4 linked regions of the Elephas maximus indicus genome follow. Each later gene encodes a partner of the first gene's protein in a complex. Links are inferred from orthologs where the notes say so. Each region holds a gene or a part of one and is shown in the gene's direction. Other genes may lie near its edges.

Evidence for each region.
Region 2: DRC1 (region 1) and EFCAB2 share a complex: the UniProt entries of both Homo sapiens proteins name them as parts of the nexin-dynein regulatory complex. The link is inferred for Elephas maximus indicus from reciprocal best matches to the Homo sapiens genes DRC1 and DRC8.
Region 3: DRC1 (region 1) and GAS8 share a complex: the UniProt entries of both Homo sapiens proteins name them as parts of the nexin-dynein regulatory complex. The link is inferred for Elephas maximus indicus from reciprocal best matches to the Homo sapiens genes DRC1 and DRC4.
Region 4: DRC1 (region 1) and FBXL13 share a complex: the UniProt entries of both Homo sapiens proteins name them as parts of the nexin-dynein regulatory complex. The link is inferred for Elephas maximus indicus from reciprocal best matches to the Homo sapiens genes DRC1 and FBXL13.

What each region holds. Positions count from the first base shown.
Region 1 is NC_064830.1:44,543,236-44,551,285, forward strand, and holds the start of DRC1 (dynein regulatory complex protein 1), read left to right. Parts: upstream 1-4,842; 5' UTR 4,843-4,867; coding exon 4,868-5,010; intron 5,011-8,050. UniProt on the Homo sapiens protein: Component of the nexin-dynein regulatory complex (N-DRC) a key regulator of ciliary/flagellar motility which maintains the alignment and integrity of the distal axoneme and regulates microtubule sliding in motile axonemes.
Region 2 is NC_064842.1:19,166,692-19,175,068, reverse strand, and holds the start of EFCAB2 (dynein regulatory complex protein 8), read left to right. Parts: upstream 1-5,195; 5' UTR 5,196-5,904; coding exon 5,905-5,935; intron 5,936-8,377. UniProt on the Homo sapiens protein: Component of the nexin-dynein regulatory complex (N-DRC), a key regulator of ciliary/flagellar motility which maintains the alignment and integrity of the distal axoneme and regulates microtubule sliding in motile axonemes.
Region 3 is NC_064839.1:55,106,367-55,113,737, forward strand, and holds the start of GAS8 (dynein regulatory complex subunit 4), read left to right. Parts: upstream 1-4,162; 5' UTR 4,163-4,258; coding exon 4,259-4,261; intron 4,262-5,983; coding exon 5,984-6,070; intron 6,071-7,371. UniProt on the Homo sapiens protein: Component of the nexin-dynein regulatory complex (N-DRC), a key regulator of ciliary/flagellar motility which maintains the alignment and integrity of the distal axoneme and regulates microtubule sliding in motile axonemes.
Region 4 is NC_064826.1:46,424,404-46,431,696, forward strand, and holds the start of FBXL13 (dynein regulatory complex subunit 6), read left to right. Parts: upstream 1-4,170; 5' UTR 4,171-4,568; coding exon 4,569-4,643; intron 4,644-7,293. Other genes in the region: ARMC10 (armadillo repeat-containing protein 10), read right to left, coding at 3,873-4,011. UniProt on the Homo sapiens protein: Substrate-recognition component of the SCF (SKP1-CUL1-F-box protein)-type E3 ubiquitin ligase complex.

The sequences.
Region 1 (8,050 bases):
TTTTTTCCTTCACTAGAAGATAAGCTCCTCAAGGGCAGGGAATTTTGTCTGCTTTATTCACTGTTGAACCTATGGTGCCTGAGACAGACATAGGCACTCAATAAATATTTGTCAAATTAATCAAAGAACAAAATGGATAGGTAGAAAGAATTGACAGTGTTTCACATCTTAATTTTTTAGAGCAGAGTGTCACAACCTTTGGTATCTAAAATGGAATTAAGTTGGATAAAATAGGTAGTGACTCAAAGTTCTTAGTATTTTTTAAATTTTCGGGAAATAATGTGGTAGAGAAACATGCATTTCAAATTCAGTTTCATTAGTTTCACTTAAGTTTCTCTCCTGATAAATCAAGCAAAATTAAATTTCAATATTTTTATTAAAAATATTTGTCTTCAATAAGGTAAAGATGAGCCCAAGAGACAGAAAGGGCCCCATAAACCAGAGACTACATCAGCCTGAGACCAGAAGAACTAGATGGTGCCCAACTACAACCGATGACTTCCCTGACAGGAAACACAAAAGAGAATCCCTGATGGAGCAGGAGAACAGTGGGTTGCAGACCTCAAATTCTAGTAAAAAGACCAGGCTTAATGGTCTGACTGTGACTGGAGGGACCCCAGAGGTCATAGCCCCTGGACCCTCTTTAGCCCAAGACTGGAACCATTCCCAAAGCCAACTCTTCAGACAGGGATTGGACTGGAGTATAAGACAGAACATGATACTGGTGAGGAGTGAGCTTCTTGGCTCAAGTAGACACATGAGACTACCTGGGCAGCTCCTGCCTGGAAGGGAGATGAGAAGCCAGAGGGGGACAGGAGCTGGTTGAATGGACACGAATACAGGGTAGAGAGGGGTGTGCTGTCTCATTAGCGGGAGAGCAGCTAGGAGTACATAAAAAAAAAAGGTGTATATAAGTTTTTATATGAGGGACTGACTAGATTTGTAAACTTTCATTTAAAGCATACACACAAAAATTTGTTTTCACATGTCTTTTTATCTTTATGTTCTGTATATATGCATAAAGAGATGTAAGCATTCCAATAGGTGGAATGGACCCTCCCCGCCACCCACCCAAATTTTGGTTTGGATGTCAAGCCTGGATGATGCCACACACATACCTCAAGAGGGTATAAAAAGGTTTATTACTTACATAATTGAGGCTGTCTGGAGAATGGCTTGAGAGAGCCAGGAGAGAAGACTGGCCTGAGGCTTTAATTGTGGTTAGAGCGTGAGGCCAAGATGAGAGTTCCTGCACAGTTTGAATCTCCTGATGACACCAAAGGAGACAGTACCCAGGCTTGCTTAGGGCAGAAGGAAATAGAGAGGGCTGATGCTTACAAGCTGTCAGCAGTCAGACATCAAAAAATGGAGTTAAAAGATGTTTGGAATGGTGAAGTTACTACTTTTTTGTTTTTAAATAATATTTTATTGAGTTTTGGGTGAAAGTTTACCCAGCAAGTTAGGTTCCCATTTGACAGTTTTCACACAAATTGGTGACATTAGTTACATTATCACATGGTATAATTGAGTTCTGTTTGTTCCATTTCCGGTACTCTAGTTTCCCCGCCCCCTTATCATCCCATCTTTGCTATTGAGTAATTCTTGACCTTTTGGTCTCATACTGATGGTTTTTAAGTAGAGCACCATTCTTAGGGGTGATATCCTTTATTTTGTATGCCACTTCATCTTGGGATAGACTCGGTTCTAGGTTTAAAGAGTATCTTGGGGCGATAGTCTCAGGGAGTCCTCCGTTCTCTACCATCCCAGTTTGTTTTGCTTTTTTTTTAAATAAGAACTTGAGTTCTGCTGCATATTTTTCTCCCATTCTATCCAAGATCATCTATTATGACTCTAGTCAGAGTGGTCAGTGGTGGTAGCTGGGCACCATCTAGTTCTTCTGGTCTCAGGGTAGATGAGGTGTACACTTTTTCTTCCCTGAGCTTTTGGTTACCTTCTTACTGTTCTGTTCCTGGCGAGTAGAGACCGGTAGTAAACTTCAGGATAGATGAGGTGTACACTTGCTTCTTCTGTGAGCTTTTGGTTACTGTCTTACTGTTTGGCTTCTGGTGAGTAGAGACCTGTAGTTGTGGGACCTGTTAATTTTTGAGTGGATGATTTGGGGTGATTTTGTGTTTTCCTTTTTTATTCTTTCCAACTTTGCTTAAGGATTCCCTGGGTGGTGCAAACAGTTAACACACTTGGCAGCTCAATAAAAGGTTGAAGGTTCAAAAGGTGCTTGAGAAGAAAGACCTGGCAATCTATGGAAAATTCAGCCATTGAAAACCCTGTGGAGCACAGTTCTACTCTGATATACCTGAGGTCACCATGGGTTGGAATCAGATCAATGGCAAGTGGTATCTGGTATACTTTGCTTAAATGCTGAATAATGAATGTGTTATTTTTTACCTCAACAATAAACTTATTTATTTTTTAAACTAAATATAGTATCTTTTTTAACAACAAAAAAGACAGTGCACGAAATCTCTAGGGTCACTGATACATGAACCTTCATAATAAGAAAGAATACAGTACACTGGAGGCATCTGGGGATGACTTTAGGACCAAGTATCTCTTGGATGGTTCTTCATGAGTGTTTGTGGTGCCGTCTCTCTTCTGTAACAGCTGATTCCTCCTGACTGTCTGATGGTATTCTACCCCCAGCTGCAGGCATGCACACATGGATATACTTGTTTCTCATAGATGGTGGAAACATGAGTCAGCACTTGGAAGAGTTTGTGGTCAGAACTACACCTTGCCCCTCTGATGTGTGGCCCATAGGAAAGTTTAATGCTCAAGGTTACAACCCAATGAGATAAATTTGGCAAAGGGCCCTGAAGCATCCTCCACATCCCTAACTAGGATTCAGGTAGCTCTTGGACTGTTTGGGCTTCTCCAAGGCTTTGGCCCTCCTAAATTTCTCCACCACTTAGAGACTTGGAAATGTCTTTTTTAAAAAAAATACTGCATTTGCCTCTGGGTAGGTCTTATTCACAAAGGGCTTTTGTTTTCCTGGTCTTCTGAGGTTTCACTTCACCTGTGAGTTAAGAAGGCAGACGATACCATTTAACAGTTGAGAAATGGCTCTCAAGAAGTTGTGGCTTGCCCATATTTGCGGGCAAGAGGTAGGACTAGTACCCACATTTTCTCACCCATTCCCTAGTTTCTCATAGGCTAATGGAACCAAGACCCTGTCAAATGTCCAGTTTGCTTTTTAAAGAAGTTTTTAAACTCTCAAAAAGAACTAGTTGAGAATGAGACCAAAAAAAAAAAAAAAAAGCCAAGGAAATAGTGCCTTTTCAAGGGAGTGTGTCTCTGTGAAGGTGAGCCCTGGTGGCCCAGCGGTTAAGCACTTGGCTGCTAAATGAAAGGGCAGCAGTTTGAACCCACCAGCCGTTCCGCAGGAGAGAGATGTAGCAATCTGCCTTGTAAAGATTACAGCCTCGGAAACTCTACAGGGCAGTTCTACTCTGAGTCAGAATTGACTCAATGGCTACAACTTTTTGGTGCTTCTTTGAGAATTTAATTGTGCTCTGTATTCTTAACTTTTTTCCCTCTTTCTCATTCCCCCATACTATTTTTCTCTGTTCCCACCTTCCCTCTTGAAGTATGTGGTTGCAGATGGGGATGGTGGGATTACCCCGGGTTTCAGCTTACTGAAAATGACAACAATCCCTTGCTGGATGGAAATGTCTCCGTTCCTTCCGCCCTCCCTCCATGCCCTCCTCCCTTGTTTCCTTCTTTGCTTTATTCTAGAGCAGGTAGGGTCCTGAATGCACAAAATGCACAAAAATGAATGCATAATGAGTGAATGGATGCAATACATTTTAGTTGGAACATTCCAAAGAGACAGTAGGCTCTGCACGCCCGGTGAGGAAAGGACAATGCCCGTATCCTTAGCTCTAGCACAGGGCTTGGCATATAGGAGGCGCTCAATTATATTTGATGAATATAATTCTTAGAAATATTCATTTGATGAATAAATGAGTGATGAATTTGTTACTGCAAATCGCGGATTCGAGCCACCTGCCGCAAAGCCAGTACTGAGACAGGAGGAGGTAAGCTGTAAGAAGAGGGCTTTATTTGAATACCGGTATCCAAGAGACAGAGGGGTTAAGTTCCTCCCAAATTCTGTCTAAAGGGCTAACTAGAGAGTTTTATAGGGAGAAGGTCAGGGTTTAGGGATTTCCCGGAATGTTAACTCTTCTTTGAGATGGACATAATGATAAAGTGACCTATTATTGAAGTCTTGAAAGTCTCTTCACGCCATCCTGGTTTCAGTCACAAGATGGATCTGAGTTTTGTTCAGCTACATTGGTCCTGTGTGTTTTGGCCCTGGGAGAGGAACCTAGTTTAATCAACAACAAAAAACTGATTACCTTATTTTTCTTTAAAGGAACAATCAGGAGACCGATTCTAGAGCAAATAATTACATTTCAAAGACTGGAGATTAATTACAGTCTATACAGCTATACTAAACTAGAAAATATATTCTCTACTTCAATACTAAAGCACTAAAGAAAATACATTTTCTCTACTTCAAATTAATCATCAGGGTCAGTAAGTGATGAGCCAGAACGTGTACCAGCTCTTCAGTCTTCCAGTCTCGTGGTGACCTGCTAGTTCACAGCCTCTGTTGACACGACTGGGCCTTCGTGGGGGTGCAAGACAGTACTCACAGGCTCATTGTAGGAGAGAAGGCTACACACAGCCCAAAGCTGGGATGCAGAATTCTGAGCTAGCGGTGGGCGGAGCCTGAAGAACTGCGCGCGGAACCACGCCAGCTGCCGGTCTGGCAACCGCTTTTCCCAGGCAACGGCTTGTTGCTAGCAACCTGGTGGAGCTGCCTGCAGGCCGGGAGGCTGCAGCCATGAATCCGCCAGGGCCCCTAGAGAAAGAGGACGAACACTTATCAACCCCGATTCTCGGGCCCTCGGTGCACTCTGATAACCCTCAGGAGCGGATCCAGGCCCGGCGCCTCCGCATTGCTGCGCGCCTGGAAGCCCGGAGGCGGTGAGCCAGGTCGGGAGGGTCTGCAGCAGAGACCGCGGTGCCGGTGGGCGGAGGGCTGCCGCTTCCAGGGCGTGGGAGCCCGCGGCGAGGGATCGGCGCGCCCTCAGTGTGAACGAGGCTCGCTCTTTTGCTTTTAATTCCAGTAAAATATATATGACAAAAATTGCCACTTATAATCATTTTTAGTTGTACAGTTCAGTGCCACTAGTTATATTAACAATGTTGGGCAACCATCACCACTATTTATTTCCAAAAAAAAAAAAAAATTTGTTTTTAGTCACTCTGAAACTCTACACGCATTGAGCAGTAACTCCTCCTTTTCCCCTCCCCTCAGCCCCGCTAGCCTCTGATCTTTCTGGCTCTCTGAATTTGCTTATTCTAGATACTTTATGTAAGTGAAATCGTACAATATTTGTCCTTTTGTGTCTGGCTTATTTCACGTAACATAATGTTTTCAAAGTTCATCTGTGTAGTTGCAGGTATCAGAACTTCATTTTTCTTTATGGCTGAAGAGTCCGTCGTATGTATGTACCACATTTTATCCAGTCATCTGCTGATGGACATTTGGATTGCGGGGTTGTTTCTTGATAATAGAAAACGTTTCTTCCAGAAGATTCAAGCAAGATATGGGTTATTAAAAACATCCAAGACACTGTTATAAAGACAAAAATAATAATCCATTTAGCACTTTTATTGAGAGCTGCTGTGCCAGGCAGTGTGGACAGCACACTGAGGATTCTGGTCATTTGTGACCTGCCCTGAAGGAGCCTGCGGCGAATTAGGGGTCTTTTTCCCTTTCCTTCTCCCCTCCGCACCTTTCCTTTCTTCCACAAGCGTTTATTTAGTATCGAGTACATTCTAGTCACCATGTTAGCCACTACATTGGGATTCAGAAAGTGAAGTCACAGTCCCCACGCTCACCGTCCGCTTGGAGGCAAAATAGACCAGCAAAGGTCACAAGCACCAATTCGTAGGTGCTGTAATGGAGGTATGGAGCCCTGGTGGCACTATGGTTAAGCGCTCAGCTGCTGTTAACCTAAAGGTTGGTGGTTAGAACCCATCCAGCGTCTCTGTGGAAGAAAGACCTGGCAATCTGCTTCCATAAAGATTATAGCCATGATTGGCAACCAGTGTCACAAAACAATATATATATTAATTGTTTATGAGAAGCTAGTTTGCTCTGTAAACCTTCATCTAAAGTACAATTAAAAAAAAAAGATTCTAGCCATGAAAAAACCTTTGCGCAGTATTGTCACTGTCACTGGGGAAGGGGGAGGGGGCGCAGACTGCACCAGTGACACTGTTAGAGGGGGTGACACCAAAATGACTCTTTAAAAGTTTTGTGAAGTGTTTCAGCAGAAATTTATTATTTTTCCTAAAAATATCACTGTAGATACTTATAACAACAAAAATTTTTTTGTAAGCCCAGGTTACCTATATCCATATAGCTACGAGGCTAAAACTCTACAGTAATTTACTTTTGGAACCTTCCAACGTGCTCCGGTCAGAGCAGTCGTTATTAGCCAATTACAGTGATGCCTCGAATCATGTGGTTTCATCTACAAGTGCTACAAGCATGCACTGTTGTTTTTGTTGCTGCCGGTGTTTTTATAGTCACTGATATTGTCACTTTTTTGATGTTTTACCTACAATATTGTGGTAATTAGCACTAGGGGGGTGACACCATGAGTCTCCACACTGGGTAACACAATTCTAGTGACGCCATGGCCTAAAGGGCAGTTCTACTCTGTCACACAGGATCACTATGAGTTGGAATTGACTCAACAGGCACCCAGCAACAAAGACATATAGAGGTACGGAGTCCTTGGGTGGTGCGAACGGCTAATGCACTTGGCTGCTGACCCAAAGGTTGGCAGTTTGAGTCCATCCAGGGTTGCCTTGGAAGAAAGGCCTGGCAATCAGCCATTGAAAACGCTATGGAACAAAGTTCTACTCTGACACACATGCGGTCACCATGAGTCAGAACTGACTTGACGGCAACTGAAAAAAATAAAGGTATAGAAATGGTGATATAGGAGCACAAATTACCCGTTGCCATCAACTTGATTCTTACTCATGGCAGTCCCAAGTGGATTAAAAGCCAAAGACCAAACCCTTTGCCATCGAGTCTATTCCAACTCATAGCAAATTTATAGGACAGAGTAGAACTGTCCCATAGGGTTTCCAAGTCTGTAATCTTTATGGAAGCAGACTGCCACAACTTTCTCCAATGTAGCAGCTGGTGGATTTGAACCGGTGACCTTTTGGTTAGCAGCCAAGCACTTTAACCACTGCACCACCAGAGCTCCTGCATGTGGATTAAAACCAAAAACCAAACCTATTGCCCTTGAGTCGATTCCAACTCTTAGTGACTGCATAGGATAGAGTAGAACTGCCCCGTGTGGTTTCCAAGGCTATAATCTTTACAGGAGCAGACTGCTACGCTTTCTCCCGAGGAGTGTTTGGTGGGTTCTAACTGCCGACCTTTCTGTTGGCAGCCAAGCTACACCACTAGGGCTTCTGCATGTGGAGTAGTAAAAGAAAACAAAAAAACCCTAAGCCCGTTGCCATCGAGTTGATTCTGACTCACGGCGACCCTATAGGACAGGGGAGAATTGCCCCATAAAAAGCCCCATAGGGTTTAAAAAAAAAAGAGGCACATAAATTCAGCCAGTGGTGGATGTGGTCATGGAAAGCTATGAGAGATCATCATTCAACAAATGTTTACTACGGGCCCTGGTGGCAAAGTGGCTAAAGCTCTTGGCTGCTAACTGAAAGGTTGGCATTTGGAACCCACGAGTTGCCTTGTGAAATAAAGATGTGCAATCTGCTTGCATAAAGGTTTACAGCCTTGGAAACCTGATGGGGCAGTTCTACTCTGTCCTACAGGGTTGCTGTGAGTTGAAACTGACTGGGTGGCAGTAGGTTTGGTTTTTGCTTCATTGTGTGCTAACACCACTCATCTGTCAGTTTGTCATACTGTGGAGGCTTTTGTGTTGTGATACTGGAAGCTATGCCACTGGTATTTCAAATACCTGCA
Region 2 (8,377 bases), on another chromosome or scaffold:
ACACCTTTCAGCTAAATAATAGGCTGGCCTATAAAAGGAATAACAATCATGAGGAAAGTGCTCCACAAAACAATCAACCATATGAAATCAAACGGGCGACATTCGCCCAAAAGCAAAGATGAGAAGGCAGGGAGGGGCAGGGAAACAGGACAAAGAGAAATGGGGAACCCAGGGTGGAATTGGTGAGAGTGCTCACATCTTGTGGGGATTGCAACCACTGTCATGGAATAATCTGTGCATGAATTATTGAATGGAAAACTAATTTGCTGTGTAAACTTTCACCTAAAGGACAAGAACATGTTTAAAAAATAAATGGGCAAAGGCCTTGAACAAACATTTCACCAAAGAACATGTACGAATGGCCAATAAGCACATGAAAGGATGCTCAATGTCACATTAGTCATTGTTGTTAGGTGTTGTTAAGTCAGTTCTGACTCATAGTGATCCTCTATGTAGAACAGAATGAAACACTGCCCTGTCCTGTGGCATCCTCACCATCTTCACTATGCTTGAGCCCATCGTTGTAGCCACTGTGTCAATCCATCTCTTTGAGGGTCTTCTTCTCTTTTGCTGACCCTCTACTTTACCAAGTATGCTATCCTTCTTCAGGTACTGGTCCCTCCTGATAAGACGTCCAAAGTATGTCATTAGGGAAATGTTAGTCAAAATCATAATGAGATACCACTTCACATCCACTAGGATGGATATTATCAGAAAACAAGTATTGACATGGATGTGGAGAAATTGGAACCCTCATCCATTGCTGGTGAGAATGTAAAATGATGCAGCCACTGTAGAAAACAATTCGAGAGCTTCCCAACAAGTTAAACATGGAATTAATCATACGATCCATCAATTCTACTCCTCAGTATATGCCCAAAAGACTTAAAAGCAGGGCCTCCAACAGATACTTGTACATTCATTGTAGCACTATTCACAATAGCCAAAAGGTGGAAACAACCCAAGAGTAAACAGATGAATGAATAAACGAAATGTGAGATAGATATGTATGATATATATATATGATATATATATATATATATGATATATATATATATATATATGGAAGCCTGGTGGTGCAGTGGTTAAGAGCTTGGCTGCTAACCAAAAGACTGGCAGTTTGAATCTACCAGCCACTCCTTGGAAATCCTATAGGACAGTTCTACTCTGTTCTATAAGGTAGCTATGGGTCAGAATCGACTTGATAGCAATAGTTTGGTTTACATACATACATATATATATATATATTCAGCCATAAAGAGACATGAAGTTCTGATACATGCTACCATATGGAAGAACCTTGAAAATATTACGCTGAGTGAAACGTCACACACAAAAGGACAAATATTGTATGATCCCACTTACATGAAATATCAAGAATAGGTAAATGTATAAAGACCAAAGTTTACTAGCGGTTACCAGGGGTGGGTGGGAGGGGGAAAAGGGAATTATTAAGGGGCACTGATTTCTGTTAACAGTGATGAAAAACATTTAGAAAACAGTGCTGATGGCTGCACAATGTGGTGAATGTAATTACTGTCACTGAATTACAAAGTAAAAATGGTTGACATAACAAATGTTTTGTTATATATATTTTATCACAATTAAAAATAATTAAAAAGAAAATAAAGACGCAGCAGTACAGCACAGTGGCTCTGGAATCAGGTCTATATTCCTAACCAGCTCCCTTACTTACATAGCTATGTGACCTTACGTAGACCATTTATGTGGATTTATTTTTTTTCATCTGTAAATTAGGGATACTAGTATCAGCCTCAGCAGGATTAAATGAGATAATGTATATAAGGTACTTACATAGCTTAATAAGAAAGAGCTACTTTTATTATTGTAATGCTGTAAGGAAACCATACCCTTATTCTGTATAGTCAGATGTTTTCCTTTTGAGATCACAATGGGTGGTGTCTTCCTCGAAGGGGTGGACATTTTTGATGTTAATGATCTACAAAAGGGATGTACGTTGTGTTAGGAAACTAGAATTGGACAGATCAGAGAGGGAACTTCCTTCTTCCCATTTTTCCCGGGTCTAGAGCTCAAGGAATCTATGCTTAAGGGCATACTTACTTGCTAGGTTTAAAGAAACCAGGAAAGGGCCATAAACTGAAGATGAGTAAACTAGATCATGTAAACTAGATCACATGGCATGTAGCTGGCAGATTACAGTAGTTACCAGTGTAACCCTGGAGTCAAACCATCTCCAGTTGTGTTAGCTGAAGCATTGGAAAAGCAAAGCTTTCCCAGGGGAAGGTGAATCTCGGGACAGAAGCTGGAGTTGACCTCTAAGAGCTCTTTCCTACCGGGAGCTGGGGGGTTATTTCACTTAGAGATTTCCTTCCAAGTTCCTTAACTTTTAAAGATTTCAGTTACATCTGTGGAGTCTCATGAAAACGCTAAGATAGGGAGTTTGGGCATTATTATTTCTATTTTTCTGAATTAACTAAGTTTTAAAGAGATTGCATGACTTGTCTGGGATCATGAGGTCAATACATGGCAATGCCCAAGGATATGCCAGTGTTTGTTCTTTCAATCATTCCTAGTCCAAAGAGATTTGTATTATCCCCATACTATGAAAGTAAACATCGTGTAAACATGTTTTGGACTATCATTTTGCATACCTGTTGCCATCAAGTCGATTCCAACTTGTAACGACCCTATAATACAGAGTAGAACTGCCCCATAGGGTTTCCAGGGAGTGGCTGGTGGATTCAAACCACCGACCTTTTGGTTAGCAGCAGAGCTCTTAACCACTGCGCCACCAGGGCTCAAATTTTGCATTAGTTACATCAATTTACCCTTCCCACTTCACCCAAATCTTAGATAACTGAGTCAATTGTATCCAGAATAAATATTTTCTGGGTCCCTCGTGGGCACGGTACCGAAGCTTATCCGAATATATTTAATTCACTATAAATTCAAGAATGCAAAAAGATATAATCTGTGCAGATCCACCTGGACCCACAGAATAATCAATCAAGTAAATATCATCCATCTAAAATTATGCTCTTGTTTCTCTGATTTCGCCTTCAGTTGCATAATACCCACGAGTGGAACCAAAAATATTTTTCTGATTCTAAATTTCTGAAAATTGCCTTGAAAATGAAAAAATGCTTTTGCAGCATACAGTATTACAAAGTTACTCAAGCTATAGCTCAGAAACAAAATACATTCAAAGGAAAAAAAAAAAAAACCACGGTTGTAGATCGCCACTGTCCAAAACAAGGTAATAATATTTAAAAAAGGTTAAAAGTGTAATATAGTCAGGGGTCAGGTTTCCACAACCAAAGAAAGGAGGAAAGTCAAGTGTCAGCAAAATGCAAATAATTACTAATTGCACTGAGGGCCTTTAGCTTATTTGGATAATCATTTTCACCTTGAGGCAAGTTTTCCAGAATAATTACACAATCTTATGTCTAATCGGCAGTTGAAAACTATTAAGCACCTAACGTGTGCCCCAAATTAGGCTAGGTACTAAGAGTTTATATAAGTGTATAAGACTAGGCTCCTGACTTCAAACCAAATGGGAGGGGGTTAAATAACACACTTTTTTTTTTTTCACTCATCCAAACTTAAGAGTGTTCTCTTAAATGTGCTTTAGGAGTTCAGAAGAGATTAACATGGTTTGAAATGATTTAAGTAATAAAAATCTTTGCTAAACCGTTAAATTTAGTCAAAAATATAAAAATATTGGGGGGATAAAGTTTGCACAGAATCTGTTAAATTCTTAGTTTTTATTTATAAATGTTTATATAAGAATTCCATTTTATTAACATGAACTGCTGATACTTTCACTGGTACAAGACTATAATGCAAAAGGAAAACCTGTCTTACTTGGAGTAACTTTGCTGAATCTGAGTCTTTTAAAAAAAAGTCACTGAGAAGACTCACTCCTGTCTTAATTTTAACAATATATATTTCAGATACAAAAATTAAAAAATCGTTCTAAGCACTAGGTATATGGATGAATACAGCAGGTCCCATCTTCAAGAGCTTACAGTTTGGTATGAGAAAACAAATAACTAAACAAGGTCATTGCAAATTAATGTGAGAAGTTCTATAATAAAAGTACAGGGGCCACAGAGGAAGAGGGAAACTTCAAGGAGGAGGTGACCTTCAAGGAGGTCATCCTGCGGACAGGCGAAAAAAAACGAAAAACCAAACCCGTTGCTGTCCAGTAGATTCTGACGCATAAAAAAAATAGGTAGGGACAAAGAATGTGTCTGGGAGAGTGAATGCTGAATCAGGGAGAGAAAAGGGAAAGACTTCCAAAAAACGGAAAACTGCAAAAGCGTATGATAAGGCACAGTGAGTGAGTAGTAAATCTGAGACCAAATTTGGGGTTTCCTACATTTACTTCTAGGTTTTCATTATCTATATGGACATAGTCGTCTTTACAAACAAGTCACTAGCCCATAATGGCTCTGAAATTGAAATATGAATGCTATGTTTAATTTTCTATATTTGGGTTGTTAATAATTCACTGTACACAACTATACTCATGTCATATAAACATCTTCCAATGTGAGAAAGTTTGTGATGACACAATCGTTTATATTGAATTTCACACAGAATGTTAATCACAGCACCACATGAACTACCTTCTATCGAAAAAATTAATTCAGTAAGGAAGAATATAGTCAGTTTGCTTTAGGGTTTAGTCAAAGATTACTGAAACAGAATTACTCAGAGGAGCATAAAAATCTGTGTAAATACATTAAGTATGAATACCGTGCAATTTGAAGGCCTCTTAAAATTTACATACATGCTTTTACACACATCACGTCATTTAAATTAATACAGCACACGCACGTATCATTTCAGGTTTAAGTTTATCTAATCATTTACGCTTGGATTTGTTATTCAAAGATCATTAAAAAAAAATTCTAGTCTAGTGAATTTCTCCTTAGAATAAAACATTCAAAAACTTGAATACCACGCTACAGCTGCAAAGTTTCAGAAAAGGATTTACAACTTTTCTATAGTAACTTTAACTGGAAGTCATGCCAAATTTCACAACTAGGAACATTTAAATGTATGTAATACCGAGCACAACATGGGCATGTTTTTGTTGCTATGAGAACCTTCTATTTTGTGTCAGAAATGCAGCCTTGGCGACGCAGTGTTTGCGCCTCTCCTACCCATGTTTTTCTACAGCTATTCCTCTCCTGTAGTAATAATAGTCTAATGACTCCGGTTTCCTCTTGCACCCGGCCCAGTTTTCCGTTTTAGCTCCAGTTCTCACAGGCTGTGCGGTCGCCTTTTCTGGGAGGGCGCAGAGGACAGGCCGGGAGCAAACGCCGAGGGCAGGAGCGGGGTTGGGCCGGCCGTTCTGCAGCAGCCTGGGCGGCTCCCCTGCGCTCGGCCGCCGTGAATGGGAAGGGGAGGAGGCTCGCTTGCAGTTGGCAATCACCCCCGCGGGAGCCGGGCTTTTCACTCAGCAGCTCTACGGCTGCTTTTAAAATCTGCAGTAAAAATTCGAGCAACGCCACGTCGTCCAAACAGGAGAGGAGGGGGGAGAGTAGTATGTCTGCGATGTCCCCTGATGGAGCAGAATTATTTAATACTAAAGGGCTCGGAACCTTAGTAAAACTCCCCGAGGCCACAGGGCTCAGGCCGGGGCACTGAAGGACCTGAAATGGCCGGGAAGCGTGGCGAGCGGGTCTCGGGCTGCAGAAGCGGGCTTTGGTCGCCCGAACGCTGGAGCTGCACGTGGCGGGAAAGGGGGAAGGGCGCGCGTTCGCAGCACTCCCCCTCCCGGGCCTCTCTCCCCAGGGTCTCCCGCCCCGGGGATTCGGAGCGGCCCATCCTCCCAGCGGGGCTGGAGGGGGAAAGGGCGCCGCGACCTAGGTTAACGATAGGCATCTCCCAGGCGACGGGCTCCGCACCAAGATGGCGGAGGATAGAGCATGGGAAAGCACAGGTAAGAGCCTCTGGGGAAGCGGCTGAGCTTGCTGTTCACCGCGACCCGGGGCTGCGCAGGGAAGCTCTTGGGGGGGCTCGTTCGCCCTCCATCCTGAGCCCCTACTCGCAGGGAGAGGGTAAACTGAGGGGAGGCCCGCCGCCTCCAGTTCCGAGGCTTCCCCGGGCCGACGCCTCGGCCCCGCCTCCCCCTTTCTTCCCGCTCCCCACCCCTCCCGTCTCCTCCTCCTCCCGCCCTCCCTTCCCCACCCCTCCCCAGGAGGGCCGAGTCTCGGCTCCGGCGCGGGCTGCGGTGAGGCGCCGGCAGGGAAGGTAATAATGGCGTCCTTGTGCCCGGTCACCGGGACGCCGCCTCCAAGCCCGGGCCAGGGGTTCCTGGTGCTGCGGCCGCTACGGCGGCAGCTGCCCAGGCTGTGGATACCGCTGGGCGGCCCGGGTGAGGACAGGTTCTGGCCGTCAGAATCTAGCTGGATCCTCTTCGGCCGCGTGGAAACCCCGCCCGAGCCCTGCCTGATGGTGTTTGCGGCCACCATTTTGCCTCCCTAGCGAGGACGTGGGAGGAGAGGTCACAGCAGTGCTTCGGCGTCTCGTCGGAAATGCATGCCCTGCGGCTAGTTTTGCGCCTCCCTCTTTCCCTCACCCCCGGCCTGTTGTCTTAAGAAACAAAAACGTAAAACAATTTTAATAAAGACTAAGTTGCAAAATCGAGTGGCCACGCTTTAAGAAGCCTGTGCTCCGGCCGGGCGGAGAGGCTCGGTCACTGTAGGTCATAGGGGCAGGATTGATGTGTTTTGTGTTTGGGGAAGCGGAAAACCGATTATCCACGTTTATTTGCAAGACTTTTAAATTGTTTTCATTGAGTAATGTGATTTAACACCCAAACGTTGATCACTACCTTCTCTTAGTTACCCGTTTTATTAAATTGTTTAGTAATTGACAAAGTCACCGGAAAAACAATATTTAAAAAACCATAAAGGAGTAGAGGTAAACACTTTGTCCGTGAAAAAAAATACTCCACCTTTGTTTCCTTTCTTGAGCGCTCAAAACACTATCAACATACCATTTTTCTCAGCATGAAACAAAGTGAATTCAGGTTAATAACTAATATTTACAAACGAAAAAACAGCCCTGAGATGTTTTTAGTCGTTTGTTGTGGCGATCACAGAAAAATAGCGGAGAAAAGAAACTGCCAAAGATCCGTCTTTTGATAATAGTAATACTACTTGATCTTTATGACGGTAAACCTTAAGAGCCAGAATTATTTAATAAATGCTTTTTATTTTAAAATGTCCTTAGAGTTGTATGGTACTGTTTAAAAAGCGTCAGGGTACATTGTAAGAGAAGTGATCACATATTTTTTAGATAATTTTAGGTAATTTGAAAGCCTTCCTAGAAAGAATGATATAGTTAAAAATTTCTTAATTGTGTTAAGCATATTTTGTAGAAAGAAAAATCTGATGAATACAATTAGAGTTAAAAGATTTTATTGGAAGAGTGAAGGAAACCAAAGACTTAAGGAAGAAATTAGTCCACAGGACTAATGGCTCACACAACCACAGACTCTTCTAGCTTGAGACTAGAACTAGGTGGTGGTACCACTACTACCGTTCTCACCAGGAATGAATCAGAAGGTCCCAGTTAGAATGGGAGAAAAATGTAGAATAAAACTCAAATTCATAAAAAAACAAACAAAAAAACCCAACAGACTTACTGGACTGATAGAGACCGGAGGAACCCCTGAGACTATAGCCCTAAGGTACCTTTTGATCTGAAACTGAAGCCACTCCTGCAGGTCACCTTTCAGCCAAATAATACATTGGCCTATAAAATAAAAACACTCATTGGAAATGTGCTCCTTTAAATAGTCAACTATATAAGACCAAATGGTTAACACTTACCCAAAAGCAAAGATGAGAATGCAAGGAGGGGCAGGGAGACTGGATGGATGGAAACAGGGCAGGCTGGGTAGAAATGGTGGAGTGTTGACATTGTGAGGGCTGTACGTGATGGACTCACGAGTCTGTTCCATTGGTTTATTTTTATTTATTAGATTCTTTTTAAAAGTAGAAATAGTGGTGCTCAGAGGTCAATTTATATCAATAAATGCACAAATACAAAAAGAAGAAAGGGCCAAAATCAAAGAAATGTCGCTACAGCTTGAACAAATAGCAACAAAAGAAACCCTCAGGCACTAGAAGAAAGCAAATAATAAAAATTAGAGCAGAATTAAATGAATTAGAGAACAGAAAAAAGAGTTAACAAGAACAAAAGCTGGGTCTTTGAAAAAATTAACAAAATTGATAAACCATTGGCCAGACTGACAAAAACAGGAAAGGAAGCAAATAACCTGAATAAGAAATGAGATGGGCGATATTACAACAGACCCAACTGGAATTAAAAGAATTGTGTCAGATTACTATGAAAAATTGTACTCTAACAAATT
Region 3 (7,371 bases), on another chromosome or scaffold:
AACCAAAAGGTCGGCAGTTCAAATCCAACGGCCGTTCCTTGGAAACCCTATGGGGTAGTTCTACTCTGTCCCGTAGGGTCGCTATGAGTCGGAATTGACTCAACGGCAACGGTTCAGGTTTTTAGCAGGCAGGCTCTGTTAGTTCCCTCAGTGATTCTAGGAAGGGCGTACTTTCCATTAAGCCAGTTTTCCAGGAGCAGAAGCTGTACTTGCTGAGGCAGCACAGCCAGACGCTCCAAAATCAAGCTGGATTCTGAGCCCAGAACACATGCTCTGCACTTCTACAACAACAAACTAAACCCAAGAAGAACATCGAGGAGGAAGAGCTTGTCTCCAGCCGGAAATGGAAAAGGCTCACAGAGGAGGGAGGTGAGTATTTGTCTTGCCTCCACAGGCAGACTTCAACAGTCCCAGATAGCTGGAAATTCACCCCAGGAGGGGCCAAACCTGCTGTGATGGATGTCTTCAGCCAAGAATGTGGGACACTGAAGGTCCTTGATCCCTAGCCTTAGGGTCTCAACATCAATGAGGCAGTAAATAGCTTCCATTTTTTAGTTCACACACACACAAACAAAACTAAAATGAAACTGCTGCTTGCAACCCTCTAAAATGACCTCATTACCCACAGGAACACCTGCAGTTTGATGCTTCGTGAGGCTGAGAACCTGGATTCACAAAAAGACAGCGCTGAACTACAGGATGGGCAATGGGGAAAGAAGCAAGGCAAGGGCTGCTCTGGGAAGTAGGGACAGTGTGGGAGCACAGGCCACTCCCAGTCAGTTGGGATGGCAGATGGTATTTTCCCAAAATGGCTACAGCAGTATTTCTGGTCTTCCAGAACCTTCCACCCCCTCAAGACTCCCCCATCTATATTCCTTCTGCTTGAACTTGGACGGGCTTGTGACTGCTCCAATCAACAGAATGTGGCAGAGTGATATTATCATGTAATTTCCAAGGCTGGGTAATAAAAAGGATTCATTTTCTACTGGCTCTCTCTTAGAGCGCTCACTGCAGAACCCAGCCACCATGTTGTGAGGAAGCCCCAGCGCACACGTGGAGACCTCCTGTGTGTGTTCTGGCTTCAGCCTAGCTAAAGTCGCAGCAACAGGCAGAAAGTTGATTCCAGACCCTGCCTTTGAACCGCCTCTATGGGTGATGAGCAGAGCCAAGGTAAGCCGTTCCCACTGAGTCCTGACCAAATTGCAAATTCACAAGCAATCCATTGTACTAAGTCATTACATTTTGGGGCAACTTGTGCAGTCCTAGTAACTGTAACTATTACTTAATAAGTACTCCCACCTGAGAGGTGAATAAACTGATACAGAGGGGTCTTGCCAGAGGCCCCTCCAGATGGTAAGTGGCAGACAATCTGACTCTGGAGGCCAGCATTTACTTTTAATTTTTCATCGAGAACATTTTCAAACACACATTCAGGCAGTTTGACCAAGTGGGTCAAACTTTTTGGGCGAAATGGCCAGTCAGTTTGTGGATTAATGTTTGCTCTGGGGTTTTTGCAGGAAATGCAGATGCCATTTATCTGGGTTTCTGAGCTACACAGCTTGATACTGAACAAAATATTTTAAGCCATACAATATGAAGAAAGAGCTCTTTTCTAAAAATCTGAACTCGAATCCAATATGAAAAACTGAGGTCCCTGTTGGGAGCCAGGAGCATGGCAGCTGGGCACCCACACGATTCATCTCTGCAATCCATACTTATATGAAGAGAGAACATACTGCTCAGTCGGTTTCTGACAGATGAAAACCCTGTCTTGGCTATCCTGAGCTAACCCTCCTCTTCTTGCCCTTCTGTGGAAGGAATTATTGTTAATGCATTTATTTAATTCAGTACTCACAGCTAGACTTCTAAGGCCAATCAACGTGATGTACCTAGCATATTGGATCTTAGACAAAGTGTTAAACAATAATAATTGTCCCACTGTGCTACCCAGCTGCACTGTCTCGCCTGCCAGACTCCCTCTGGGAGGCCCCTGCCTCTGAAGGAGGAGGCCCATCTTGCCAGTGGAGTCCAGCATGGGGCTGGTGACTGGTCAGACATCACAAAGGCTTAGGGATAGGCTATAAATAAATCATGGCTCCGTCCTTCCAACTGGATGCTCCTCTCCAAGAACAATAAGGGTCTGGTGGGCAAACAGGAAGCCCCTCAAGCTTATCACAGTGGCCTCAGAAGCTAGGCTGCTGCAGGGTTCCCGAGGACTGAGCAGACCCGGCTACGGAGGCATCATTCCTTTCTGAGCTGGATGGGAAGACCTGAGCCCACCTGAGTCCTCTGTCATTACCCACATTCTGCCCTCTACACAACTCTCCAGGGGTAGAAGATTCCAGAATCTTCTCTATAGGAAAACAAGACCCATCGCAAAACCACTATTCAAGAAGTTGCTAAAGTTGAGAGCAGAGAAAAAAGGACAAATGATGTGTAAAGATGGGCGCTTGCTTATGACAAATCCTCAGTCTTTCAGGTGACTTGGATCCTCATGTCTAGGTAATAGCATGGTGGGGCGGGGGGGGGGTGGGGAATTGGAAATTCACTTTGGAAATCATAAAATGACTAGCGTTTGTTTTACTGAGCTCTCTCTTTTCAGCAGTGCCTATCTGGAAGCCTCTGAGGGATTTCTTCTCCATGAGAACAGAGAGGCCACAGCTGAGGTCTCCAGCACAGCAGTGCATTTCTGTTAAGGGTGGACATGCTGTCACTTAGCAATAGGGGCAGGTGTCAAGTAGACTGTTGATTTCAAAGCTTTGGAGCTAAGCTGAACATTTTTCCTTTATCTATGTTGTTAGGTACTGTTGAGTCGGTTCCGACTCATAACGACCTCATATACAACAGAATGAAACACTGCCTGGGCTTTCACCACCCTCACAATTGTTACGGTTGAGCCCATTGTTGCAGCCACTGTGTCAGTCCATCTTGTTGAGTGTCTTCCTCTTTATCACTGATGCTCTGCTTTATCAAGCATGGTGTCCTTCCCCAGGGACTGGTTCCTCCTGATAACATGTCCAAAGTATGTGAGACATAGTCTCACCATCCTTGCTTCTAAGGAGCTTTCTGGTTGTAGTTCTTCCAGGACAGATTTGTTTGTCCTTTTGACAGTTCATGGTATGTTCAATATGCTTTGCAAACACCACAATTCAAAGGCATCAATTCTTCTTCAGTCTTCCTCAGCTTTCGAATGCATATGAGGTGATTGAAAACACCGTGGCTTTTATATATATATATATATATATGTATGTATGTATATATATATATATGTATGTATGTATATATATATATATATGTATGTATATATATACCACCCACTACCGTCGAGTCGATTCCGACTCATAGCAACCCTATAGGACAGAGTAGAACTGCCCCCGTAGAGTTTCCAAGGAGCGCCTGGCGGATTTGAACTGCCAAGCTCTTGATTAACAGCTGTAGCACTTAACCACTACGCCATCAGGGTTTCCTATATATATATATTTCCCACCGCCCCCCCCCCCAGGATTTGTGGAAATCCAACTATTTTCAACCTTCACCTGGGTAGTAAGCGGGAGGACCCTTCAAAGGTGGCCAGAGTGGGGTGAGTCCCAGGGGGCAGAGTCTCAAACCCAAATTTCAATTTGATTTGGACAATGATCCAGAACCTTGTCCGTGTAGGCTCATTCGTTCACTCACTCACTCCTTCATCCAACACATCTTTATTAAGAGCCTGGAGCACAGAGTGAAGGCAACAGAGCCCCCTCCCGTCATGGAGCTTAAATTACAGTAGCGAAGAGCTTAAGTTACAGTAGAGGAGACAGGCAGTAAACAGAAGACGTAAATTATATTTCCTGTTAGGTAACAAGCTGTTTCCTTAGTTTTCAGATTTTAGTTGGTAGCCCAGGAAGGGGACAACTAAGCAGAGACCTCCCGGGCCTGGGTCAGGATCCCCAACCCGCTGCAGACCGGAGTCGGGGGCCTGGAATTCCTCGTCCCAGTTCGGCGACAACACGCGTTTAGGGCTGTTGGGGAGATCAGGCGATCGGTGACGCGGGGCTGTGGCCCGGCCTGCCCCGGCTTCCGCGACTTGGAACTCCCTCCCCGCGGGCGTTGCTAGGGACGCTCTCCCGTCGTTGCCAGGCCCGCCGCCTCAGGCGAAATCTCGCGAGGATCCCTGAGACTTGGCGCGGGAGCGCCGAGCGTTGCTGGGAGACAGGCGCATCTTCACCGGCCCTGAGAGTTAGTGTGGGGGCCGCGCCGAGGCCGGTCCGGCAGAGCCATGGTGAGGGGGGCCGGGGTGCGGACCGGGGGCCTGGGCGCACTGGGACCCCAAGCCGGGATCTGAGCTCTGGGGCGCTGGAACTGCGCTCGCTGGGATCCCGGACCGGGGGTGTGAGCTCGGGGGTCTTAGACCTTGCGCCCAACCTAGAGCCATGAGCTGTCCAGGATGCTGTGCTCACAGGGCTGCTCAGCCCTGGAGCCCGAGGGCCCGGTGTGCAAAGTACCCGTACGAGAGACCCTGAGCCTGAGGGGATTTCCTGCCTGGAGTGAAGGGCTTGGGGCCTAGAGTCTCATCTCACGGGGGCCCCCCCAGGGGGCCACCCAGGGACCCCAGGAAGGACAGGCTGGTCAGCAGTATCCTAGGACCGCCGGTCCCGGGAGGGAGAGCCAGGGGCTCACCAAGGGGTAGACTCAAATGGGGTCGACTTCTTGGAATAGATCTTTCAGAGAGAGGGTTAGAAAGAGCAGTAAAAGGGGTGGTGGTGGGAAGGTGGAGCCTGGGGCTTCCATGGTTGGATCGTTGGAGAGTAGATTGTGAAGAGACCATCAGCAAAATACTTCCGCTTATTATCATTGGTCGGCAGTTCGAATCCGCCAGGCGCTCCTTGGAAACTCTACGGGGCAGTTCTACTCTATCCTATAGGGTCGCTGTGAGTCGGAATCGACTCGACGGCCCTGGGTTTTTTGGTTTATTAACATTAGCTTGTGGAACTACGGGCGATTTTTTTTTTTTTTTTTTGCTTCTCTGTGTTTCTAAAATTTCCGCTTGACATTTTTTTGCAATTCTAAGAAAGTTACATAGATACCCACACATGGAAGCATGGGCTTCAGGGAGTTGGGAGTAGCAAAGGGCTAAGGATAAAGATTTGTAAAGTCAGATATGGAGAATGAGTAGGGTCAGAGGTTCTCTCTCACCATGAGCAGTTGGGTCTGGTGACCTGTTTACACAGCAGTTCAGAAGCTCTCTTGACCTGGGTTCTTTGAAGGAGTTTTGTATTTGGAAGAAAGGAAGCCTCAAATTGATGTCATTCTGTGATCCTTGCTGCAGAAGCCCTGCTTCCTACACCCATGAATTGGTTTTTTGGAGGTTTTTCCATGGTGGTCACCAAGCTTGTAACAAATGTGGTAGTGTTTGACTGTGCTTTTGGGGGTCTTCCATTTTGACTCCAAGTAAATTTTGCAACCAAAGATAAATTTTGTCCAAAGGCAAAGAGGTCTTTGTCTTATGCCAAGGAGTGGGTGAGTTCAGGAGGGGTTGCCCCTCCTTTCAGCTGGAAAAAATATCCCGTGAAAAGGAAGTCCTCCCCTAGTGCTTCTCCGAAGGACCCAGTGGGGTGTGTGGCATTAAGGATGGAACTTCAGGGCCCTCCTGTTGGGACAGAGATTCCATTGAGGTGCTTCTTTCTCCCAGAAAGGCCCCCGGGAGGGTCTTGGAGCTGGCCAACAAGTGGGAGCCCTTAGATGGTTTATTTACTCCTTCGTCCCTTGTTTAACCACAAAACCAAAACCACACCTACTGTCTCTGAGTCTCTTCCCACTCATAGCGACTCTATAGGACAGAGTAAAACTGCCCCATAGGGTTTCCACGGCTATAATTTTTACGGAAGCAAATTTCCACATCTTTCTCCCTTGGAGCAGCTGGTGGATTCCAACCACCGACCTTTCAGGTAGCAGCTGAGCGTTTAACCACTGTGTCACCACAGCTCCTTTCTTTAACTAACAGGCGCCTAAAAAGAAAGGAAAGAAAGGCAAAGCCAAAGGCACTCCGATTGTCGACGGGCTCGCTCCGGAAGACATGAACAAGGAGCAGGTGAGAGGGCCAGCCCAGCCACCTCAGCCCAGGCCAGCCAACCCCTACTTGACCGCTGTCCCCGCCTGCAGCTGCCTCCACCCTCCCCTCTGTTCATTCTGTCCTCCTGGCCATCTTCTTTCCATCCTGCCCTCCCCGCATCCACCCTCACCCCCTTGTACTTCTCTCCATACCAGATCATGCTCCTTGTTTCCATCCTTCCAGTCAGCTCCAAATTTCTCAAATACAACAGAGCCACAGAAGAGAACATTTTTATAGGGTGGTGGGTTTTGGAAGGAGTAGTATTTCTGATCTAACAGCTATTTCTATTTTTAATTCTCTGTCTCCTTCAGGCCTATTCTTTGATGCACCTGGCTTTTACAGAGCTGTTACTACAGCATAGATACACACAACATCCTCCTTTGTCTTGTTCACTGTTAAACACTATAGCAAATAAAAAAGAAAAAATTGTCTTGTTCACTGTTAAACACTATAGCAAATAGGATGTCTTTAAAAGAACAGATTTACTGAAAATCACATCACCTCCATCTGATTAATTAGGTCATCATTGTTTTGACAAGCTCCAAAGACAAGGAGCCGACTGGCTGCCTTTGCTGTTGCTTGTGCGTACATTTTGGGGGGGAGAGGATCTGTCTTCTAAACTACAGTTTTTTTGTAGGAATTATTTTACATCACTTGTCCATTCTGTTGGTGTTGGGAACTTGATAATTGCATTATTACAGGTTCCTGATAACCACACAAGTGGCAAAACCTTGAAAGCCAAGGAGATGCCACCTGGTATCTGCCTCGGTCTAGCAGGGCCAGGGGCATCTGACGCAGGAACCGAGAGAGGCTGTATTGGCTTGATGGTAATGTTAGTAAGCTGCTTTCTTTTTATAGTTTTAAGACAAAACATGAATACACAGGAGACTGAGAGAGGCCTTGTTGTTAAGGGGGCAGGGCTGTGGAGGCCTTGGAGTTATGATGAAGAATGGCTTTATTTTAGGTGACATTTAAGCAGGGGGTGGTGGGTCAGGCCTGTGTTCTGGGAAGGCCATCTGGGTGCTGGGTGAAGAATGGACTGAAAATGTCTCATTACCCAGTGGCAAATGGCTTCCTGTCCTGTTTACTCTCTAGACTTTAGACAGGGCAGGGCAGCTCCCCTGGCAGAGCTGCACCTTGTACTCTTGGAAGCCCCAGAAGCCCCCAGGATCCAGGCAGCAATCTGGGGGTGACCTGGGGCTAGAGCCCCACTGTGGGGCAACTGCTGCTTGCTCACTAGACAGCCACTCTGTGGCATGGACTCCAGGGCCTCTGACCTC
Region 4 (7,293 bases), on another chromosome or scaffold:
TCATAGTGACCCTATGTATTAACAGAACAAAACACTGCCTGGTGCTGTGCCATCCTCACAATCACTGCTATGTTTGAGCCCATTGTTGCAGGCACTGTGTCGATCCATCTTTTTGAGCATCTTCCTCTTTTTTGCTGACCCTTTACCTTACCAAGCATGAAGTCTTTCTCCAGGGACTGGTCCCTCCTGATTACATATCCAAAGTACATGAGACAAAGTCTCACCATCCTTGCTTCCAAGGAGCACTCTGGCTGTACTTCAAGATAAACAAACAAAAAAATCAAAACAAAACCTGTTGCTGTCAAGTCAATTCTGACTCATAGTGGCCCCACAGGACAGAGCAGAACTGCCCCGTAGAGTTTCCAAGGAGTGCCTGGTAGATTTGAACTGTGGACCTTTTGATTAGCAGCCAAAGCACTTAACCACTACACCACCAGGGTTTCCACTTCCAAAAGAGACTTGTTCATTCTTCTGGTAATCATGGTACATTCAACATTCTTCGCCAACACCACTAATTCTAAGATACCAATTCTTCTTTAGTCTTCCTTATTCACTAACTTTCACGTGCATATGAGGCGACTGAAAATATCATGTCTTGGATATAGGCGCACCTTAGTCTTCAAGGTGACACCTTTGCTTTTCAACACTTTAAAAAGGTCTTTTGCAGCAGATCTGCCCAGTGCAACACATCCTTTAATTTCTTGACTGCTGCTTCCATGAGCACTGATTGTGGATCCAAGTAAAATGGAATCCTTGACAACTTCAATATTTTCCCTGTTTATCATGATGTTGCTTATTGGTCCAGTTGTAAGGACTTTTGTTTTATGTTGAGATGTAATCCATGCTAAAGGCTGTAATCTTTGATCTTCATCAGCGAGTGCTTCAAGTCTTCTTTGCTTTCAGCAAGCAAGATTGTGCCACCTGCATATCACAGGTTGTTAATAAGCCTTCCACCAATCCTCATGCTCCATGTTCTTCTTCATATAGTTCAGCTTCTCGGATAATTTGCTCAGGATACAGATTGAATAAGTATGAATCCGACCTGAACTTCTGGCAGTTCCCTGTCAATGTACTGCTGTAACCATTTTGAATTATCTTCAGCAAAATTTTACTTTCGTGTGATATTAATTCCTGCATTCCATTGAAATCACCTTTCTTTGGAATGGGCACAAATATGGATCTCTTCCAGTCAGTTGGCCAGGCAGCTGTCTTCCAAATCTCTTGGTACCGATGTGTGTGCACCTCTAGTGCTGCATCTGTTTGTTGAAACATCTCAATTGGGTATTCTGTCAATTCCTGGAGTCCTGTTTTTCACCAATGCCTTCAGTGCAGCTTGGACTTTTTCCTTCTATACCATAGGTTCTTGATCATATACTACCTCCCGAAATTGCTTAACGTTGACCAATTCTTTAGTACAGTGACTCTGTGTATGCCTTCCATCTTCTTTTGATGCTTCCTGCATTGTTCAATATCTTGTCCACAAAGTCCTTCAAAATCGCCACTCGGGGCTTGGATTTTTCTTCAATTCTTTCACCTTCAGAAATTCCAAACCTGTTCTTCCCTTTGGCTTTCTTTGTACATTCCACTATAAATACTGCCTCTTTTCAAGCTGTCCTTTGAAACCTTCTGTTCAGATCTCTTATTTATTCATTTCTTTCATTAGCTTTAGCTACTCTATGTTCCTGAGCAATTTTCAGTCTCTTCTGACATCCAATTTTGGTCTTTTCTTTCTTTCCTGTCTTTTTAATGACTTTTTGCTTTCTTCATATATGATGTCCTTGATGTCACTCCACAACTTGTCTGGTTTTCAGTCATTAGGGTTCAATGCATCACATTTATTGAGATGGTCTCAAATTTAGGTGGGATATACTCAAGGCAGTATTCTGGTTTTGTGGACTTGTTTTGATTTTCTTCAGCTTCAGCCTGAACTTGCTTATGAGCAACTGATGGTCTGTTCTGAGGTCAGCCCCTGGCCTTGTTATGACTGATGATATTGAGCTTTTCCATCGTCTCTTTTCACAGGTATAGCTGATTTGATTCCTGTGTATTCCACCTAGAGAGGTCCACATGTATGGCCGCAGTTTATGTTGCCAAAATACGTATTTGCAATGAATAAGTCACTGGTGTTGCAAAATTCTGTCATGTGTTCTCTGGTGTCAATTTTTTATCATCAAGGCCATGTTTTACAACTACAGGTCCTTTTCCAACTTTTGCTTTCCAATCACCAGTAATTATCAATGCCTCTTGATAGTGCATTTGATCAATTTCAGACTGCAGAAGCCAGTAAAAATCTTCAATTTCCTCATCTTTCGCATGAGCAGTTAGTGCATAAGTGTGAGTAACAGTTGTATTATCTGGTCTTCCTCGTAGACAATGGATATTATCCTATCACTGACAGCGCTGTATTTCAGGATAGATCCTGAAATATTCTTTTTGATGATGAATGTGAAGCGATTCTTCTTCAGTTTGTCATTCTCAGTAGACTAAATAATTGTCTCATTCAAAATGGCCAATACCAGTCCGCGGACAAAATAACAACTATATATTTATTCAAAGTGAAGTTATAACAGATTTTAACAAATTATTTTTTGTTGCTGTTGTTCAGAATATATACAGCAGAACATGTACCAATTTAAGTTTCTACATGTACAACTCAGTGACACTTATTACATCCTTCCAGTTGTGCAAACACTTCCACGCTCTTTTTGGAATTATTCCTCCCCCATTAACATAAACTCACTGACCCCTAAGTTTCCTATCTACTCTTCCCAGTTGCTGTTAATTTGAAAAACGGAAGCGAGTTCTGTAACACTATTATTGTGTTATACAGTTTCAACATGACTTCTTCCAAATGAAACTGTATGACCAGAAGTCAGACTGTGCATGTGCCCACCATACACTGGGAGGTAAAGGATACACAACAGCAGGGGCTGTATGATCTCATATCTATCCCTTTCCTTCTCTTTATATATATACACCCAGTTGTTAGAGGTGGCCACCTTTGGGAGCTAGGATTACCAACAATTTTATTTTCTACCCTGTTTGTAAGACTATTTTAATTTTTTAAAAACATAAACAAGCATTACTCCTATTATTAAAAATGGGTGCATTGCTTAAAGAGCAATCACCAAAAAAAAAAAAAAGAGGAAAAGGGAAAAATGTAGATTATGGGCAACAATTAATGACATGATGTCCTAAGGTATCCAAATTAAAAATCTGTTAGCGAAATGTAAAAAACCAGCGGATTACCACTATTAACTCTTGTGATCAGGGGCCCTGGATGCTGCTTTTACTCCCGAATCCTTTACATGCCTCATTTGCACCTACAAAACAGGGTTCCGCTCAATCTTACAAAAACTGATTTTCTGGCTTTTAAAGTTGCAGGCAAGATGCTGGACCACGGTGACTTAAAAGTGTCTCCCCGCACAGGGCCGGGACGAGCACAGGCCCAGGTGACGTCCCTTTTTCCAGGGAACTGCACACAGCATTTCATCTTATGGCTCGAGGCACGAAATGCCCCATCCACAAAGGCCCAGTGCAAGATTTAAAGTGCGAGGCAATCAACGTGCGTTTGAGAAACCCATCCTCCGCTGGACTCTGAACTCAAAAAAACAGTTAAGTTTGGGAAACCTTTCATCCCGTGATTTTGAACAAAGAATTGGCGGCAGGGAGGAGGCTCAGGATCCAACGCGCCTACCCAAATCAAATGAACAATCCGCTCTCTCCACCTGGGCTTCCAGGCCTTGCGCTCTCATGCAGCCTCCCTCCCGCCTCTGGCGCGATTACTGCGAGGGCGGGAAAGCCCCCAGCGCCTGCGGAGTCTTTGGCGCCCTCCCCGGCCCCCGACCACCGCCAGACGCCCGCGGCCTCACCTGCGGACGGCGAGGGGCGCAGCCGGGGCCCGCGGCCGACTCGCCGCTGGCCCCGCGTCAGCCGGTAAATGCAGTAGCAGGCGCCGGCCCCGAGGACCAGGCCCGCCGCCACCCAGCCCACGTCCCGGGCGCCGCCCATGCTGCCGCCGGGGCGGGGGCGCGAGAGGCTCGCGAGGCTGGCGCGGGGGCTGCGGCGTGGGCTGGGCGCCGGGCGCTGGGCGCTGGGGTCTGCACAGCCCGCGGGCGCCGCCGCCTCCGCCGGAGCGCGACCGAGTCGAAGAGAAAGGAAATGGGGGTCTGAGCTCCGCCTCCCGGAAACGGCCCTGCCGAAATAGTAAAGCCTCCTGCTCGGTCCCACGGCCCTGCGCGCGGCCGGTGCCGGTGGGCAGGTGGGGGACTGGACTCCGCGAGGAGTTGCACGGGCTGCGCGCCCTGAGGGGCGACTACGCACACAGCCGCCGCCGCTGCCCCGGGCGTCCCCCTCGTTCTCCCCAGGAGCGTTCAGTCTAGGTTCCAGGCCCGCCTCCCTCCCCGCGGACCCAGAGATGGGGGCGGGAGACTCCGCCGCGCTCCTCCCCACTCCCGCGGTTGCCAGGGCAACGTCGGGACGCGCCAGCCCCTAGTCCGCGCGCGCCGTCTGCTGCTGGGGCGCGGAGAGCTGGCTCGGAGCGCGGCTTCGGAGTCTGGCCTCTGGCCATGGCCTCGCTACGCACTGCCAAGCCCTGGCTGAAGAGCTACTTCAAGGAGAACTACATTCCCCAGGTTTGCGAGGTACTGGAGCCAAGTGGCGGCGGACACATCGATTGTGAGCAGTGAGAGGAGAGAAGAGTCGGGGGAGACTTCCTACTCGGGCGTGGGGTGGAGAGGAGGAGCGGTATAGGAGGGGATGAGGTCCTCTTTGGACAAGTCAGTGGTCTGAGCTGAAGATACAGATCCAAGAAGAGAAGACAGGGGCGATGATGACTGAAGGGAGGAGCGGGTGACATCTTCCAGGGAGAAAAGAGCGGAGTGAGCACAGGGCCCAAGACGGAAACCCCAAACCCCAACTTTTAAGATTTGAACTAGAGGTACCTGCAGGAGATATTAAGAAAAGTGCCAGAGAGAGGGAAAGAAAAATCAGGAGAGTGGCATTTCTATGAAGAAGAGAGTGTTTTAAGGAGCGAGTAACAGTGTTACCTAAGATAAGGACCTGAAGGAGTTCCGTGGATCCGGCCCAAGGTGAACCTAGGGAGAGCCATTTCAATGGAGAGGTGAGTGAAGACAGATTGACATTAGCTGAGGAGGCTGTGGAAGCTGAGACCTTTAGACAGAATATAGCCAGCTCTCTGTGAAAGGAAGGACCCCACACTGGGATTAACTTCAGACAGAGGGAAGGACTCCCCTCACCTCCTCCCCGCCCCCCCATAACAGGACAGAAGAAGGACAGGATGGGGGTGAATGGGTGAGTTTTGGTAGGAAGCTGGGAAAGTACTCCAGTGGCTTCTATTTTCCCTACAAATAGTTGGTGAGATCATTTGCTAAGAATGTGTGTGTTTGTGTGGGAATGGGGGTTGCAATAGGAGGGTTGAGTTACTGTGGGGGACGAGGGTGAGAGATGTCTAGGGATGGAAACAAGAGCAGGGCAGTGTTGAGAACCCTGCAAGGGGCAGTAACTCTCCTGTACAGTTGAGAAGGCAGTTTGGTACAGCTCCCCTCCTTTTTGGATGATAATTTAGAAGTATTTGTTAAATTGTTAAATGCATACCCTTTGACCAAGCATTTCCACTTCTAATGATCTAATCTACTTCAGAGAAATACTTGGAGATGTGTTCAAGGAGTGGCATGTACAAGGATATTCTTTATTGTTACATAGTGAAAGTAATAAATGACTTAAATATAAGTAAGAGGATACGATATTTTACAGAAGGCAGTATATTTGTATCTACTGAGAAGAAAAGATCACCAAGAAATATTACGTTAAAAAAAAGGCAAGTTGTCCAACCAAGTGTCTACTACAATTCTAGCTATGTACCATATTCAAATATGTGTATATATGTGTATGTATATATGTATACTGTTTATATGTATGTGTATGTGTGTATATTTAAGACAATCATACATGCATGGAAATAATATATGTATAGAACGTATGTCAAGCTGTTAACAGTAGCTGCTTTTGGAAATGGTTTTTGGGAGGGGATGAAGGAGAATTCTTTTCACTCTATGTATGGCTGTATTGTTTTAATTTTTCATTATGAGTTTTATTCATGTTTTAACACCACGCAGTTATATTTGGGAAAATACGTGGAAAGCACGGTACCCATATTCCCAGTTGTATGATTTTCTTAAGCACTTAGTAAGCCAGACATAGGTACAGAAATTACAGAGTTGATTTCATCCAGGATTGGAGTTTGCCAGACATTTAGAATGGAAGGGCAATGGGTCAGGGAGCTAAAGCTCTTCAGAGTGCCTGAAATGATGGGCCAAGGACTCCAAGGGCTTGGTGGGAAATGAGAACAAGAGGAACATTATACTGATACATGGATAGAAAGTAGAGGTTCCTAGAAAATGGGTGAAGAGAAGTAGAAAGAGTAATTGAGTAAGGGGTCTGGAAAAGTAGGAGGTTGATTTGAGCAAGTAGAATGTTTGAATTTAAGATTTAGGATAGAGCTGTTCTGAATGATGATCCAGTTCAGGGTGTGATCATGGAGCAGGGAGCAGATATGGACTTGAATTGAGTGTCAGGGCACCTCAGGGAAGTGATAGCCTCTCCTCACCTCTTCTCCAGGTGCCATACATACAAAGCTGCAAAGAGGCAGTCCCTAGTACGTCTTCTGAGTGAGCACATTATTTCCCCACCAGCTTACCACATTGCTCTGCCATTAGAGAAGTCCCTCATAAATTGTTATGAATTGAATTGTGTCTCCCCAAAATATGTGTTGTAAATTCTAACCTCTATTTATGCCTGTGGTTATAATCCCATTTGGGAATGGGTTGTCTTTGTTATGTTACTGAGGCAGGATTAGTGTAGGATGTGTTTTGAGTCAATCTCTTTTGAGATAAAAAGATTTAACAAGCAAGCAAGCAAGCAGAGATGGGAGAGGATAGATGCCATGCCACATGAAGATTATCAAGGAGCTGAGGAATAAGGACCTCCCCCAAGAACCAACAGAGAAAGCCATCCCCTACAGCTGGTGCTCTGAATTCAGACTTCTAGCCTCCTAAACTGAGAAAATAAATTTCTCTTTGTTAAATCCACCCATTTGTGGTATTTCTATTATAGCAGCACTAGACAGAATTTGGTACCGAGAAGTGGGAGTACTGCTCTAACCTGTAAAAAAAAAAAAAAACCAGTTGCTGTTGAGTCAGAACCAACTTATAGCGACCCTATAGGACAGAGTAGAACTGCCCATATGGTTTCCAAGGAGCACCTGGTAGATTC